2 linked regions of the Struthio camelus genome follow. The protein of the gene in region 1 purifies or fractionates together with the protein of each later gene. This does not show direct contact. Links are inferred from orthologs where the notes say so. Each region holds a gene or a part of one and is shown in the gene's direction. Other genes may lie near its edges.

Evidence for each region. The genes of interacting proteins can lie anywhere in the genome.
Region 2: the proteins of LRIG1 (region 1) and ERBB4 purify together in Homo sapiens (affinity purification with western blotting; 3 studies listed by BioGRID and IntAct, with this or other methods). This does not show direct contact. The link is inferred for Struthio camelus from reciprocal best matches to the Homo sapiens genes LRIG1 and ERBB4.

The regions. Positions count from the first base shown.
Region 1 is NC_090955.1:13,778,715-13,785,997, reverse strand, and holds the start of LRIG1 (leucine-rich repeats and immunoglobulin-like domains protein 1), read left to right. Parts: upstream 1-4,279; 5' UTR 4,280-4,294; coding exon 4,295-4,485; intron 4,486-7,283. UniProt on the Homo sapiens protein: Acts as a feedback negative regulator of signaling by receptor tyrosine kinases, through a mechanism that involves enhancement of receptor ubiquitination and accelerated intracellular degradation.
Region 2 is NC_090947.1:5,984,280-5,991,177, forward strand, and holds the start of ERBB4 (receptor tyrosine-protein kinase erbB-4), read left to right. Parts: upstream 1-3,885; coding exon 3,886-3,982; intron 3,983-5,055; exon of another isoform or gene 5,056-5,120; coding exon of another isoform or gene 5,121-5,133; intron 5,134-6,898. UniProt on the Homo sapiens protein: Tyrosine-protein kinase that plays an essential role as cell surface receptor for neuregulins and EGF family members and regulates development of the heart, the central nervous system and the mammary gland, gene transcription, cell proliferation, differentiation, migration and apoptosis.

The DNA.
Region 1 (7,283 bases):
ACTAAAGATATTTTTTTTAATTGGCTATATATTTTTGTAAGTCTGTAGTATTTTCTGTAATACATCTACCCTTCCTGACTGAGGTTCCCTCCACAGGGACAGGAACTGTTTGCTCTTAGTTCACAAACAACTTTCAAATACAGTAAAGGACTACACCTAAGCTATTCTCCTATCTTCTCCCCTTCTTGAAGGCTGAAATAGGATCCAAAGCCACACTGCTGTGAATTTTTTATTTCTTGGTGTAGCAAAAGCCTAACCCTCAAAGTTTTAGCTAGAAAAAGCCCAGGTCTATAAATAATGCCTATTGATTCTTCCTAGAAAGATTTAGGGCCTAGCCCAGACAATATATGCAGTGTCTACACTGGAAGGTCTGTTTGCCATCAGGGACCTAACAGAAAGTCTTTGCATGGCAGCAGGGCCCAAAAGACCCTGGCTGCCCCTGTGAAACACTTTCTGAGCAGAGATCTTGGAGACAGCTGGTTACAGAGGGCATGAGAGCTGGTGAGCATTGCGAGGGCTCAGCGCATGGGGCTTGGCCACCCACGAGTGCAACTCTGTCTGCGGATATAGAGTGCCTGAAGGACTCAGTAACCTCCGTGCTGGATGGGAGAAGCCTTTCTAGAGGTTAAGAATCTCCTGTTTATCTCTGCAATCCGATCCCTTCAAGGCTGTCCCAAAAGCCAGATAGTTGCTGTGCAGATGGACTGGCAAGAGTAAATAGGAAAGAAAAGGGAAACGCTACTCCAGTGATAGTTAACACTTCTTTTTGCAGTAGATGGTCGAGCTTTCTGGAGGGACGTGAAAATCATAAAGTGTCCATACCGGACTAAGATCCTTCCCCACAAGGACATCAATAAATTCAGTTTCTAGATTTCATCCATGTCATCTTCCAAGGCCAAATCTCTTTCTCCCTCCGGATTTCCAGACTTCTTTCTATTTTTCTCATTTCTCTTCTTTCCTTTTTTCCCATTTCTCTTTGGTATGATTTTTGCATGCACATCTTTTCACCAATGCACACACTGCACGTGCTAATCCCAGAAGAGGAAGTAGCCAAGAGGAATGATACAAAGGTTCAGGGGGGGCAGAAGTACTGTGCACCACCCACGTGGCCAAAGCCTCGTTGCTCTACGGGTCTGAGGACAACTTTGAATGTTGTTTACAGCAGGTGGTTGGCTACATAACTTAGTGGCATGTACACACCATTTGCTATGTATCAAACAAGTGCACACATGTTCATTAGGCAATTGTAATGGCAATGAATCAAGGTATATAAATGTAATCCCAAGTGATCATAAACTTATCATTTATGTGAACTGGAAACACATCAATATATAAAGGGCTGCCCCTTAGTGATGTCTCTGACACAAGTTAGAACAAAGAGCATCACTTTTAGCCTAAGATACCTTTGTGTAATGCCTATCTGTAGCCTCATATCCATTTCTTATAGTAATTACCAAGGTAGTCCCAGTAGGCAAGAAGATCTCTGTGCCCTGTCAGATGAAATACAGCAGCACCACTGATGAATCTGGAAGAAACAAAGAAGAAATCTGTAAGAAAAGAAGGAAAACAAGCAGAAGAAGCAGAAGTCCTCATTCAGAGTCACAGCTTCCAAAAATAAGATGCGTCTCCTCTCACACCTTCCTCTCACACCATCAAAGTAGAAGGAAAGGGACTCATAAGACCTTTGCCCAGTTTTTGGCTCATTGGGACTATAGGCAGGACCACTGAAGCCTGATGTTAAAAAGTCCAAACTTTTTGCCACTCTGAGAGGCTGGCCTGCAATCTCTACTCCCCTTCAGTTCCCCTGTCAGTAGATGATAATGTTTCCTATCTTGCATTCCTTATCTATAATTAATTTGGAGAATTAATTAAGCATGAATTAAAAAAAAAAAGGAATTAATTAAGTAGGAACCAAACTATTTCAGTGGCAAAAAAGTTACCCAGCACAGGAGAGGGCAGAACCACTCAACCTGCTCAACCTTGGTTGCCCCTGCCGGGGAGAGCTTTACTGGGAGACCTGAAGGATCCTTAGCTATGGGGCACAGCAGCCAAAACCCTCTCATTCTGGCAAATTAGGAGCAGGTTTCCCACATCTTGCACAGGAGAAAAGGCAAAATGGAGAATTTGTTGCTAGCGCTGTCTGGGAAGCATGTGTGAACGCCTGTGGGCTACAAATAGAGCCATGGCATGAAGACCAGACCCGGCAGCTGGTAACTGAAGCTTCTCCATGGAGCGAGGGGGGGCTGACAGTTAGGAGCTTTACTGGAGTGAAGCACAGCCACTGCCGCCACTGCGAGAGCCGTGGGAGCCGCGGGTGGGTTTCCCGTTGGAGCCTGCGGGCCTTGTGCAGCCCTGCCGCGGCACAGCTCTTGCCTCACGCGCTCTCCAGCCAAGGAAGGCGATGCTGTCAGTTTGGGCAGATTTCCATACACGGGTATGGAGAGTAGACATGACTTCATGCTCCTCGCTAGACTCGGGGCGCTGCCAAAACTCGGAGTCCTATTTCTACCCGCCTGGAAAAGAGATGCTTCCCGAATTCAGCTTGAGGGCCGCATAGCTGGTGGCAGGTGAACAGCAGTGACTGGGTGGCAGCCTGGGTGCCAAACTGAACAGCTCTGGCTTCTGCTTCAACTGGGCTACCAGCAGATTTGCCATCACACCCACACGCTGATGAGCTGACTTTCTCTAGATGAGCTCAGCCTCTGTTTGCTGCTTTTCAAGAGGTGGCATGTTTGTGCAGCTTGGGTACCACTCCGAACACACCTTAACAAAATTCCCCTCACGCGTGCTATTTTATTTTAAGATATATGCCGCTTCTGGAAGATGAGCAGCATGATTAGGTACAGTGCCCCATCCTGTTACAAAAACCGAATATGTCTCCAGCCCCACCATGGAGAAGAATCAGCACTGGAGAATGGAAATCTAACCACACTTGAAAGGTCAGGCTACGATATTTGTTTCTCTCCCTAAAATATCACACCCCTTTTATCCCCACATAACTCCAGCTGCGAAGCAGGGCCACTGCGTGCGGTTAAACAGCCTCACCGCCCGCATTGCGGAAAGCGGGAGCATCCTGCCCCAAAACGCCGCACGGGCCGGGTCCAAAGTCGACCCAAGCCCTGTCTCGCGCGGCAGGGGCAGCGGCCCTGGTGCCTGCGTGGGCCCACACGAGGCCTGGCGGCGCGAGGCCCAGGCACGGCCCTCACTGCTGCACCGGCAGCAGGCGCCGCGAGAGTAACGGCCATACCAGGGACTTGGCTTAAAAAAAAAATAAAAAAGGTAAATTTAGGAAACGGCCACTTCAGTTGGGTCCGAAGTTCACCCGAGCGATTAGTTCATTCTGACGACGCGCAGCTCACCGATTTACCTCAGCGGCAAGAGGCTGGTGACAGCGCAGCGGGGACTTGGTCAAGAGAGCGCAGGCCGTGGCTGAGCACCTCGGGATCGCTCTCAGGGGCTTTTCAACCATTTGGGGAAAGTTACACGCGGGTGGGGGTGGGGGGAGGGTCAGGCCCTGCGCTGCCCACCCGCCGAGGGGAGGGCGCGCCCGAGGCGGCGCGGGCCGCAGCGTCCCCTTTAAGAGGGGCGGCGTGGGGCGGGGGGGACGCTCCCGCGTTCACACCTGGAGTGGGAAAGGGGGGCGGGACCTCGCGCCTCTGATTGACGGGCGGCCGCCCTCAATGGGGCGCCGCGGAGCCGTGGCGGGGAGGGGGCAGGGGGCGGCGCAGCGCGGCCAATCGCAGCCGGTGCGGGCAGGCCGCCGAGCGGCCGCTAGCCAATGGGCGGCGGCGCGGCGCGGGGGGCGGCGCGGCCGCACGGTGCGATGTAGCCAACGTGGGTTTGAGGCGAGCGGCGCTCGGGGGCCGGAGCGGGAGCGAGCGCGGTGGGGCCGGCCCGGCGGCGGAGCAGCAGTAGCGGCGGCGGCAGCGGCGAGGCCGGTCGTCAGCGGCTCTCAGCCCAGCGGAGGCGTGCGGGGGCGGCGCTGCGAGCGCGGGCCGGAGCCGAGCGGCGCTGAGGCCGCCCTTGCGCGGAGCGAGGAAGCGGAGAAGGCGCCCGCCGCTGCTGCCGCCGCCACCGCCGCTGAGGAACTTTGTCGGCGCCGGGAGCGCGGCTGCGGCCCGCCGCCCCGCCGGGGGTGGATGCCGGGGGCCGAGGCGATGCCGCGGGCGGCGTAGCGCTCCGTGCTCGCAGGGCTCCGCGGGGCTAGCGCGGACTGCTGCGCCTGCCCCCCCCTTCCCTCCTCCGGGCCCCCCCCCCGGCCCGCCGCCGACCCCGCTCCGGTGCCGGATACAAAATGGCGGTGCCGTTACGGGGCGGCGGTGGGTGCGCGCCCGCGGCGGCGCTGCTGCTGGCGCTGCTGGGCTGCGCGGCCGCCTCCGCCGGCTGCCCGGCCGGCTGCGCCTGCGGCGGCGGCGAGCTGCTGGGCTGCGGCGGGCTGGCGCTGCCCCAAGTGCCCCGGGACCTGCCCCGCTGGCCGCGGCACGTGTGAGTACGGGCGGGGGCGGCGGAGCGGGGCCGGGGGCGGCGGGCGGCGCGGCCTTGCTCGCCCGTCGCGCAGGGGCTGCCCCGCGCAGGGCCTGGGTGTTGCGTGTTTTATGCCGGGTAGGGTAGCGCACGGAAGTTCTCCTAAAAGGAAAAAAAAATCCCCAAATTTCCTTTTATTTTTCTCCCCTCCTTCCTTTTCTTTCTTCTAAGTGACACTAGTTTCTGCCTGCTTATAGCTGTTGAGTGCATGGTATGAAATCTCGGGTGTTCCTCTTATCTGCCTCCAAAGTTGAACGGGGGATGGAGATAAGGCAAAGGTTGCCGTGTGGTTGCGTTTCCAGCTGTACTGGGCTGAGCGGGAGTTTGTTTTCTCTCAGCCGGTCCCTTTTTAGACTTATTTTCCTTCTGTTCCTTTATACTGACCCCTCGGGATGGGGGGTAGGGGGAAGAGATGAGAGCAGATCTTGTTGTTAATTATATGATGTGCTGCAGATAAAAAGGCCAGCTTTGGATGACTGGACTTGGGCTCCTGAATCCTTATTTGGACATGTCAATAAATGGCCTGATTCTCAAAACTGGTGAGCGCCCGAGCTCTGCCCGGCGGCTCTGAGAACCGGGCCCTTCGCAAGGTGCCCAAATATGGACCTGAGCGCTCCCGGCCAGGCGCTCGATTTTGGTGTTTTGAGCCATAAACTCTTAAGGTGTGAAAGTCAGCAGGAAAATGTTGGCAGAAATGGACTTGCGGGCTCCTAAACTGTATTGCGTGGTCATGGTGCTTTTGGGGAGCTTGTGAGGAAGTTGATTTTTCTCAAAAGCTGTGAGTGAGAGTTGTAGCTCACTTGGCTACTTGTGGTTCCCTCTGTTCTTGTCTGTTTGTTGAAGATACTAATCTGCCAAATGTCATGGTTTAGCAGATGGCAGCTAAACGTGTGCTATGGTACCTAGTGGTTAGTCAAGGGCCGTTGCGGGTTTTTCCCTCTAAAATGATATTTTAAAGTAGTTAAATGTATAGACACACAAACACTCAGCAAGTGAAGAACAGTGTAATTTCCATTTCCTGTAAAGCGCAGTGGATCTACTCCTGTTGTGTAACTGCGGAGTGTTGTGCTGTGACCTGACCTGATAAGATCTGAAGTATAAAATGAGACAAGTGAAGGGGGGGGAAGTGTGCTCGGCTTTGACAGCTCAATTCATTTGACAGTCTTAATACATCAGAACTGGGAGTGTGTGTGTTCATACACTCATATAAGTAAGTGTCCTTAACTATTAGCTCCTTAACCTCTGGAAATGAAGACCCAGGAAGGGAGAGGAAAGTGTCTCAGCTCTTCCATTAAATCTATAAAATTTCTAGCTGTAACAGATACTCCGTACCTCTGTCGGGAGAGAAAATGGTCACTGCGGTATTGTTGGAGATTGTCCAACTTTTTAATAAATAGAATTATTAGGGGTTTGTCAGGTTCTCTTGGTATTATTCATTTTGGCTGCAGAAATGCCCTATTTTACATGAAATTATTGGGTGCTGTGCTGAATTATTGAGACTAGCGTTTGGCCCTTCGTAGTCCAATGCCTGACTCATCGTGTTCACCTGTTGCTGTGTTCTCTTGCACAGTACAGATCCTTCATTCAGCCTTAGATAATCTTCATATAAAGTTTTTAATTTTCTCCCCATAATTCCAGAATTCCAAAGTCCTTTTAAAATAGGACAGTGCATCTTTATTCACGTAGAGAAATGTATTTATAGCCCAGTTTGAACAAACTTATTGTGTTTTTTTCAGGAGTGCTAATACCGACGAGTGTCTTATTCATATGGAACAGATTTTTGAATGTCTTGAGTTCAGTTTAAATTTTATTGGTGAACTCATCATGCATATAAATCTACTACTACAGACCTGTGGGCTGTTGATCGTTTAACCACTTAGATAAAATATGATTTGTCACTCTGTAAATTCTAAACTAACCAAAGAATTAGCTAAAGTGGAAGTTTGTGATGGCTTTTGTATCTGACAATGCAAAACTCATGTTTCTTCCTTTTTCCTAATGAATATAGAAGGCAGACATTTAAGCTATTTACTTATGTACTTTGTTTTTAAAGTAGTATTCTAATACACTAAAAATCAATTATTTAAGTTTAGAGAAACAAAACCAAGGCACTCATCTTTCATGATTCATAGGCTCATAAACGCTAATTTCTGGTGCAGTGGGTTGCTAACTCATTTTGAATAGTTGTTTAATGTTCTCTATAAAAACACCGTATGCTGAAGAAACATGACTTTATCTCCATGTAAATGTGTCAGTCAGTTTTTATTTTGCACGTGCCTTTTTAAAGAAGTCAAAGGCAAATGTTAAGATGTGCAGGAGCCCCAGACCAGTATGGGGATGCAGTCCTAGCATGTGGGTCCCGTGGACCCCCTCGCTGGGGTCCCTCAGGAGGGAGCAGGACGAGACAGGCGGTTGTAGCCGGGCATCCCATGTCTCCTGCCAAAGGTGTCTGCCTCCTGCCTGCTGCTGTGCCGGGGTGATAAGCTTGGGCATGTTAGATGGCTAAGTGAGGTGAGCTAAATCCTATTCTCCCTGACTTTTGGTGGCTGTGCTTTAACTTTGTTAAAGTGCTTTAGAAAACCCTTCCCCAGCAGTTTATCTTTTTTTTTTTTCCTTCTTAATTAGTGCCACAATGCTGAAGCAGTGCTTGGAGTCGATTTTCAGTGTGTTTCAGATAAAGCCTTTGTTTGAACTGTTAGAAATGTGGCTCTTGCACACTAGGCAGAGTTCTGGGACTGACTTAATCATGCTGTATATTT
Region 2 (6,898 bases), on another chromosome or scaffold:
CCGAGAGGGCTGGAGGCCCGCGGCGCGGCGGCATCCTCGGCTTTACGGTGCCGGGCCAGAGCGACGGTGCCGCCTCCGCTCCCTGGGAACGGTCTCGTCCGGATACTTCGCAAACGGATATTTAAAAAAAAAAAAAAAAAATCCCCTGAGTTAGGTGTTTGTGGCTGAAGGGAAAGCAGTAAAAGGCTGATTTATGCTCTGAGCCACGAAAGACTATTATCGCTTCTGGTTTTTTTTACCTACGTGTATATAACTGCCTTGCCCTTAAATGCCTCATCCCTTTCCGAACTCCTGCGCGAGCTCCCGGGCTCGGGTCTCCAGCGGGGGCAAGCGCGATGGGTTAAATGTGCTGTTTTTCGAGAGTAAGTAGCTCAGGAGCTTCCAAAGCACCGGTTTCCATCCACGCCGGACATCTGGATATCCTCGTCGGCCCACGGAGGGGCGGTAGCTGCCTTTCTGCCTGTGCTGTGCTCCGGCACGCTCTCCCTTGGCTCAGCTTTGCGGCTTTGGGGAGCGTTGCTCCATCACTCGGCGTTTTCCCCAGCCTTTTGCGTGCGTCTTTCTTAACACCGCTGGTACGGCCCCGGGAACCGCGGCTGCTGCTTCGTGGTGGGGGGAAACCCAGCCCTCTCCCACCGACACGGGGATTTAGGAGTTTGACTCTAGGCATATACGTGTAAAAATAACGGCCAATTATTTCTTCAGTTTTATTAATTACCATTAGGCTTGCAAGTCATTTATGACCCTTTTTAATTCAACCTCTCAAGAAAAAAGATTACTTTAGGGGAAAAAAAAAAAAAAGAAAAAAAAAAAAAGAAAGTCATTTCGTGGAGGATTAGCGAAAGCTGCGGCTGTGCCATAAAAGCGAGCTACTTGGCGGGAGGGGACTCTGCGAACGCCGGCGGCACGAGGACCGTCAGATGGCCTGCAAGGCACCTAAGCGCAGAGGGAAGGGGGAACGCCGGAGGGGAGCGACGCCGCGGGGCCTCGCTGCCTTCCTCCTCGGGCCTGCCTTTAATTAGCAGCTTCATTAATGACTGGGAGGGCACGGTAAACACTGTGTTCATCACGTCCGAGCAGGACACGGAGCCAGGAGGAGCTGAAGGCAGCAGCGAGGGCGGTTTCAGCGGCGCTGGAGCCGGCGGGGAAACGCAGGCACGTTTCCTCCTTCCCCCCTCCAGAAGCGCGAGCCGGGCAACGCTGGGCAGAGCGGCTACGATTTTGCGGGGGCCGAACAAAACCTATTGCCTCGGGGTGGGCCAGCGGCCGGAGATCAGTGCTGCGACGGGGCAGAGGCGTTTTAAGGCGCTTCTCAGAAAATCTAGCGTTTCGGAGTCGCGGGCGAGCGGGGGGACGCTTATGGCCGGAGCGATTTAAAATTGCAGCGAGGACAAAGCGCGGAGGGAGCCGGCGACCGAGTAAATCCTTCCTGCCTCTGGATTAGAGAGCAGGGGGCCACCGAGCGCGTTTAAACCAAAACCGTAACGTTTTGGGGGCAGAAATCGCCCCGGCTGCGTCTGGTGCGCCGCTGAAGGACGGCCTGGAGATAGGGGCCGGGAGCGGGGGGGAATCCCTAAATCCAGATAAATCGTGTTTAATAATAATCTGCAGGACACGTAAGTCAAACCAGAGGGAGAGCGCTGCCACGGGCTGTCGGAGAGGAAACGCTCTGCCCACCGGATGCCACTGTTGCTCAATATTAAATCACACGGAAAAAATAAAAAAAACTCCTGCGGCCGGCCAGAGGGTATTGGGAGCTTAAAGACGCCCCGCGCCCCAGGCTGCGACGTCGCGCCCCGGCGCTGGCGGTACTCGCAACTCCTCCGCTCGCGGCGCTAAGTGCCCTGGCCACCGGTCAAGGTGGCGGCGTCAAGGATGGAGGACGGCGTGATAACTCACTTGCATCGCCCCGGGCTCTAAAAAAGCCAACGCTGGCTGCTCGGCTCCCGGTGGGAGAGCCCAGGCGAGGCTCACGTACTCCACAAACACGAGGGCGGTGTGGGAAGGGCGGCAATTGCTTTGCGTGGCCAACTTTGCCCAGCAAACCTTTCCGATGACTGTACAGGCAGCGTTAGGTGAGGAGCCCCGGGTATCTCCGCTGGATCTGCCGCCACCGATCCTGCGGGTACGGCAGCCCCAGCCGGAGCAATTAGTCACTGTTTGCTGAAAGGCGGCTGGAGCGCAAGTTTTCTATTTAAATATTTGAAGGAGTTTAGTCTCGCCGCCTCCCGTCGGCTCCGCGGACGCGACGGAAAGGAATTAGGCGGCGAGAGGCTTCGCCTTGCTGCTCCGGCGGGAGCGGGGCCGGCTCCTCGTTCTCGCGGCCCGAATAACCGGCGCGCAGGGAAGAGGCAGGCTCGGCTCCTCGTGCTGCCCTGCGGAGGGGCTCGGCCGCCCGAAAGGGCTCGCGCGCGGCCTCCCCGTCCCGCAACGCGAAGCTCGCCCCGGCCTCGGCCGCTCGCCCGCGCTGCTCGCCCCTCGGCCATTAATTCATTTCGGCTAGGATTTTCGGCGCTTGGCCGCATCGGGGTGAACGCGAGCAGCAGCAGCCTCCGCTTTGGTGGCGACAGCCTACGTCCCGCAGCGAGCGGGCTCCCCCCTGGGAGCCATTGCGCTCACAGTTGTCCGATTCGGGCAAAATACCGGCCGGCGGCTTCTTTCCGCTCTGGGTCGGGCAGTTTTCGACGGCCAGCTCCCTCCCGGGGACGGGGACGGCAGGCAGGTGACGGACGTTAACGGGGACCTGCCCAGATCAGCGTGCCGCGCCGTCGGCTCGGTTTAGTTCGGGCGGGAATCGCGGGTGCCGGGAAGCTGCCCTTTGGGGGGACCGTTGGGTCACGGGGAAAGACGCTTCGTGGGGGAGGCTACGGGGAGCGTGAATGGATTTTAGGGTGGATTTTAAGCTGAGCGCTGGCTCTTCTGATTGCTCAATTAAGGCTCTTCCTCTGCTCTCCTCTCCCCTCTCCCCGGTGACTTCCAGCCGCACGGCCCACCGCGAGCCGGGGCGCTGCGTCCCCCCGGCCCGGCCGCCCACCCGCCGAGCGCCGCGCTGGCCGCGAAGCGGCAAAGCCCGTGGCAGGGCAAAGCCTGTGGCAGGGCAAAGCCCGTGGCAGGCTGCCGTTCCCGGAGCCGGCTGCCTTCGCTCCGCCGGTCCCGCCTCGCACCGGAGGCGTCCGCGGCCTTCTCGCACGGGCGGGCGACGCGCGGCGGCGCGCCCCGACGCGGCGTGTCGCCCCCCACCCTCGCCGCGTCGAAGCGCGCATCCAGCCCGTATTTTTGCACGGGGCGCGGGGGCGGGGGGGGGGGGGGAAGTGGGGCACAGGCGCAGCTGCGCGCACCCGCCGCTGCCTTCTGCGGGGGAAAGCGGGCGCGCAAAAAACGCGGAGGCGAAGCACAGCGAGCGCGCCCACGCGCGGGCAAGCACGCGCCGCCCCTCACTTTTGCCGGGTCCAACCGCGCGCACCCGGCCGCGCACCGTCGCCCCCGCGCTGCTCCGCGCCCGCACGGTGGCAGCCGCCGCCGCCCCGAGCGCGCAGGTACGCGGCGCGCTCCGCAGGTGCGGGCGGGCGCAGCGCGGCGCGGCGCGGCGGGGCGGGCCAGCGCGCCGCCGGCCCCCGCCCCGCTCCCGCCCTCCTTCCTCCCGCTCCTCCTCCTCCTCCTCCTGCTGCTGGTGCTGGTGCTCCGCTCCGCGCGGCGCCCGCGCGCGTATTTCCCCGCAGCGGGCGCCGCGCCGCCTGGCTGCTTCCCCCGCCGCCGCAGCGCGCCCGCGGAGGGGGGGGGGGGCGGCGGACAACTTTCGGGCGCTGCGCGGGGCTGCGCGGAGGCGATGGCGGCAGCGCTGAGCTGAGCGGAGCGGAGCGGAGCTGCCCCGGCGGCGGCGGCGCGATGCCGGCGGCGGCGGCGGCGGCCGGGGGGCTGCTGTGGTGGAGCTGCGTCCTGGCGGCGGCGGCCGGCTCCCCGCGGGCCGCCGCGGCGCAGGCAGGTGGGTGCGCGATCTCCCCCGCGGAGGGGCCCCGCTTTCGCCCCCCTCCTCCCTCCCCCCGGCCGGGTGCGCGGAGAGGAGCGCGGAAAAAGAAAAGGGGGGGGGGGGGAAAAAAGAAGTATTCAGGCACCAGCTACTTATTATTTTGCTGTTTGCTCCCCGCGGAGGGGGAGCGCGCAGCGGCTCGCCCGCCTCCCTCCAACTTCTCCGCGGCCGCGCAAACGCCGCGAGTTTGGTCCCGCGGGGAAGTGAAAGCGGGCGGCGAGCAAAACCGCGGCCGGGGTCTTGGGGGGAGGAGGACGGGGGGGGGATATGTCCGGCGGGGGCTGCCTCCACGGGGGCGGAGGACCCTGTTATTCCCGTTATTATTAAGGACTGCAGTCGCTAGGCTTTGGCGGCGGGCGGCCCTTTGCCGCGGCGCTGCGCGGGGGTCGCGGGCGGTGCGCGCCCGGCTCCGCGCCCCGGGGCCCCCAGCGCCGCGAGCTGCGCGCAGCGCGCTTCAATCCCTTTCAGAGAAAAGGAGGAAGAAGAAGAAGCGAGATTGGGGGTGGGGGGGGAGAGGAAAAAACCCAAGCCCAACCCCAGCACGCAAGCAAACCCGCGCGGAGGCAGCGCGGCGGCGCGTGTAACTTGCGGCCGTGAGAAAAGTTGCGCCGCTGCGTGCGCGGCCGGGCTGCGCGCCGGGGCTCGGGGAAGCGGCCGAGCAGCGCACGGCAGGGCCCCGGGGAGCGCCCGCTCCTGCGGAAAGGGGGCCCGTGAACCCCCCCCCCCGGCATCCGCGGGGGGCAAGGGGGGGGGGACGGGACTTTCCCTGGCAATTCCGCAGAATTCATGTCGTTTGGGCAGCGCTGGGGCGGCAGCTCCTCGTTCGCGCGGTTGGGTTTGTATTTCGGGGTTTTATGTCACGGAGAGGGTGCTGTGTTTGAAGAGAAGTCAAATAAGCACGTCCCGGCTTTTTTCTTTTTTTTCTTTTTTTTTTTGGTTTTTAAATTCAGCTTTCCTAGCTGGGTTTCGCAGGCGTTTTTGCTTTTAGCGTGTGCTTTCCTTCTTCGGCGGGCGATCGTTTCCTAATTCTTGAAATCAGGAGAGGCAAAACACCAGACTTCTGCTGCTGCTTGCTCTTAGGTTTTCTTCTCCTATGGCTTTAATAGGTAAAGGAATACTGCCTTCCTTATTTCCCAGGCTCTTGTTTGCTGTTTTCCGTGGTAGGCATGTGGTTTTTTTTCACCTCCCTCCTTGTTTCTTCCTGCACAGCCTCTTTCTTCCACTGACTTGATACTTTTTCCATCTTCTACTTTTTTTTTTTTCTTTTTGGTAGCCTCCCCTTTCTCCCCCTTTCTCTTTCCTGTTATTTCTCCCCTAGCAACCTTCCACTCTGGCACTGCTGGCGCTCGCTCAGTCGCTTTCCAGTCCTCCTTTTTTGATCAATCTGATATGGCTGGCTGAGTGGACAATTGCAGAGCCACTCCGTTGCCCAGATTTATACCCGAGTGAAAATAAAAGGCATCGATCCAGGGGCGCTTGCGTCGCTTCCCCGCGCCGACTCCCAAGGCCGCCTCGGAGGAAGGCTCCTGGTTGCTTTTGGTCCAAAAAAAAAAAAAAGCCTCTGTTCCTTGCAGCGTGTAAAAAGGAAATCCATTTATTAAAATAACAGGGTTGGAGCGACCCTTTGTGTTTTAAGGGGCTTGGGGGCCGCTGCGGCCAGTGTCTGCTCTCGAGTGGCTCTTTCTGCTTGGCGCTCGCTGCAGCAGTGAGTCAGGCTGGGCAGGTGGGCTTTGCTCTTGAAGTATTGAGGGCCCAGTCGAATTGGGGGCTAAAACCCTGGTTTTCGGCAGCCTTTGGCTCGGGCCCTGCCCGCTGCCTTGGCTCGCAGGGCGTCGAGGGAGATGACGGCAGCTCCGCTCATGCGAGTGAGCGGTCGTGCAAACTTTGGTTTTCATTACCCTGTGTCTGTTGGTTGAGATGTAAATGCATAAATACATTTTTTTTTTTTGATTTCTTTTATCTGCGTGCACAGGCGTATAATGTTTGCGGTGCGCAGCTCAGACGGGGTCACGTGAGCCAAACAGCTTGGGCTGTTACCTGGAAGCTGGCGAGCCTTTGTTCTGCTTGAAAATAGCTGATGAATTAAGTCCTTCTTGTGATATAGGGGACTGCTGAGTTGTTAAATAATTACAGCCAAATTAACTTAGCGCTGTTTGAAGTATCAGCTGCTCCAAGAAATTAATTGTACTTCAAATGTTTTTGCACTTTTTGTCCCCCCCCCCCCCCCCCCCCAGCAAAGAGCGCGTTCAGGCCGATTTGCGCGCTGGCTGTGACCTCGGGCCGCTGCCGCTCTCCGGGCCGCGTCAGGCGGGACGTGCCCCGTGCCTTTGGAGAGGGGCATCTCTGCGGCTTTGCAGCCGCCCTCCTTGGCGCCTCTCCTGGTCCTTCTGCCCCGACGCCTGTCCCATGGCTAAAATTAGGTTGAGCTGTGAGCGCCTTTGCAAACGCACGGTAAATATTGACTGGGAGTTTCAGCCTATCTCCGCGGCTAAAGGGCTCGCTGTCTGCAGAGGGGAAGTCTCCTCTCAGCTTTTTGCTGGAGGGGACGGCATCCTGTTAGGGGCTCCGGGTCCAGCACGGGAGTCCCGCTGCCCTCCGTGTCTGCGGCTCCGGCCGCAGCCGTCCCCTGGCGTCCCGAGCTGAGCTGTGCCGGGGACCTGGACGTCTCCGGCAGCCGGCGGCGCGAGGCAGCTCTCGGAGCTGCCGAGTACCTGAGCGACTTACTTAGCCGGGACTGCTCTTTATTTATTTTAAAGAGGCGATAATTGATGTTCGTGCATATGGATTCTGGCACCAAGAGCTGCGCTTGTAATTAATGTGAAAACAGTGATAATAAGGACCCGAATTACACGCCTGTGAGCAAACAAAACG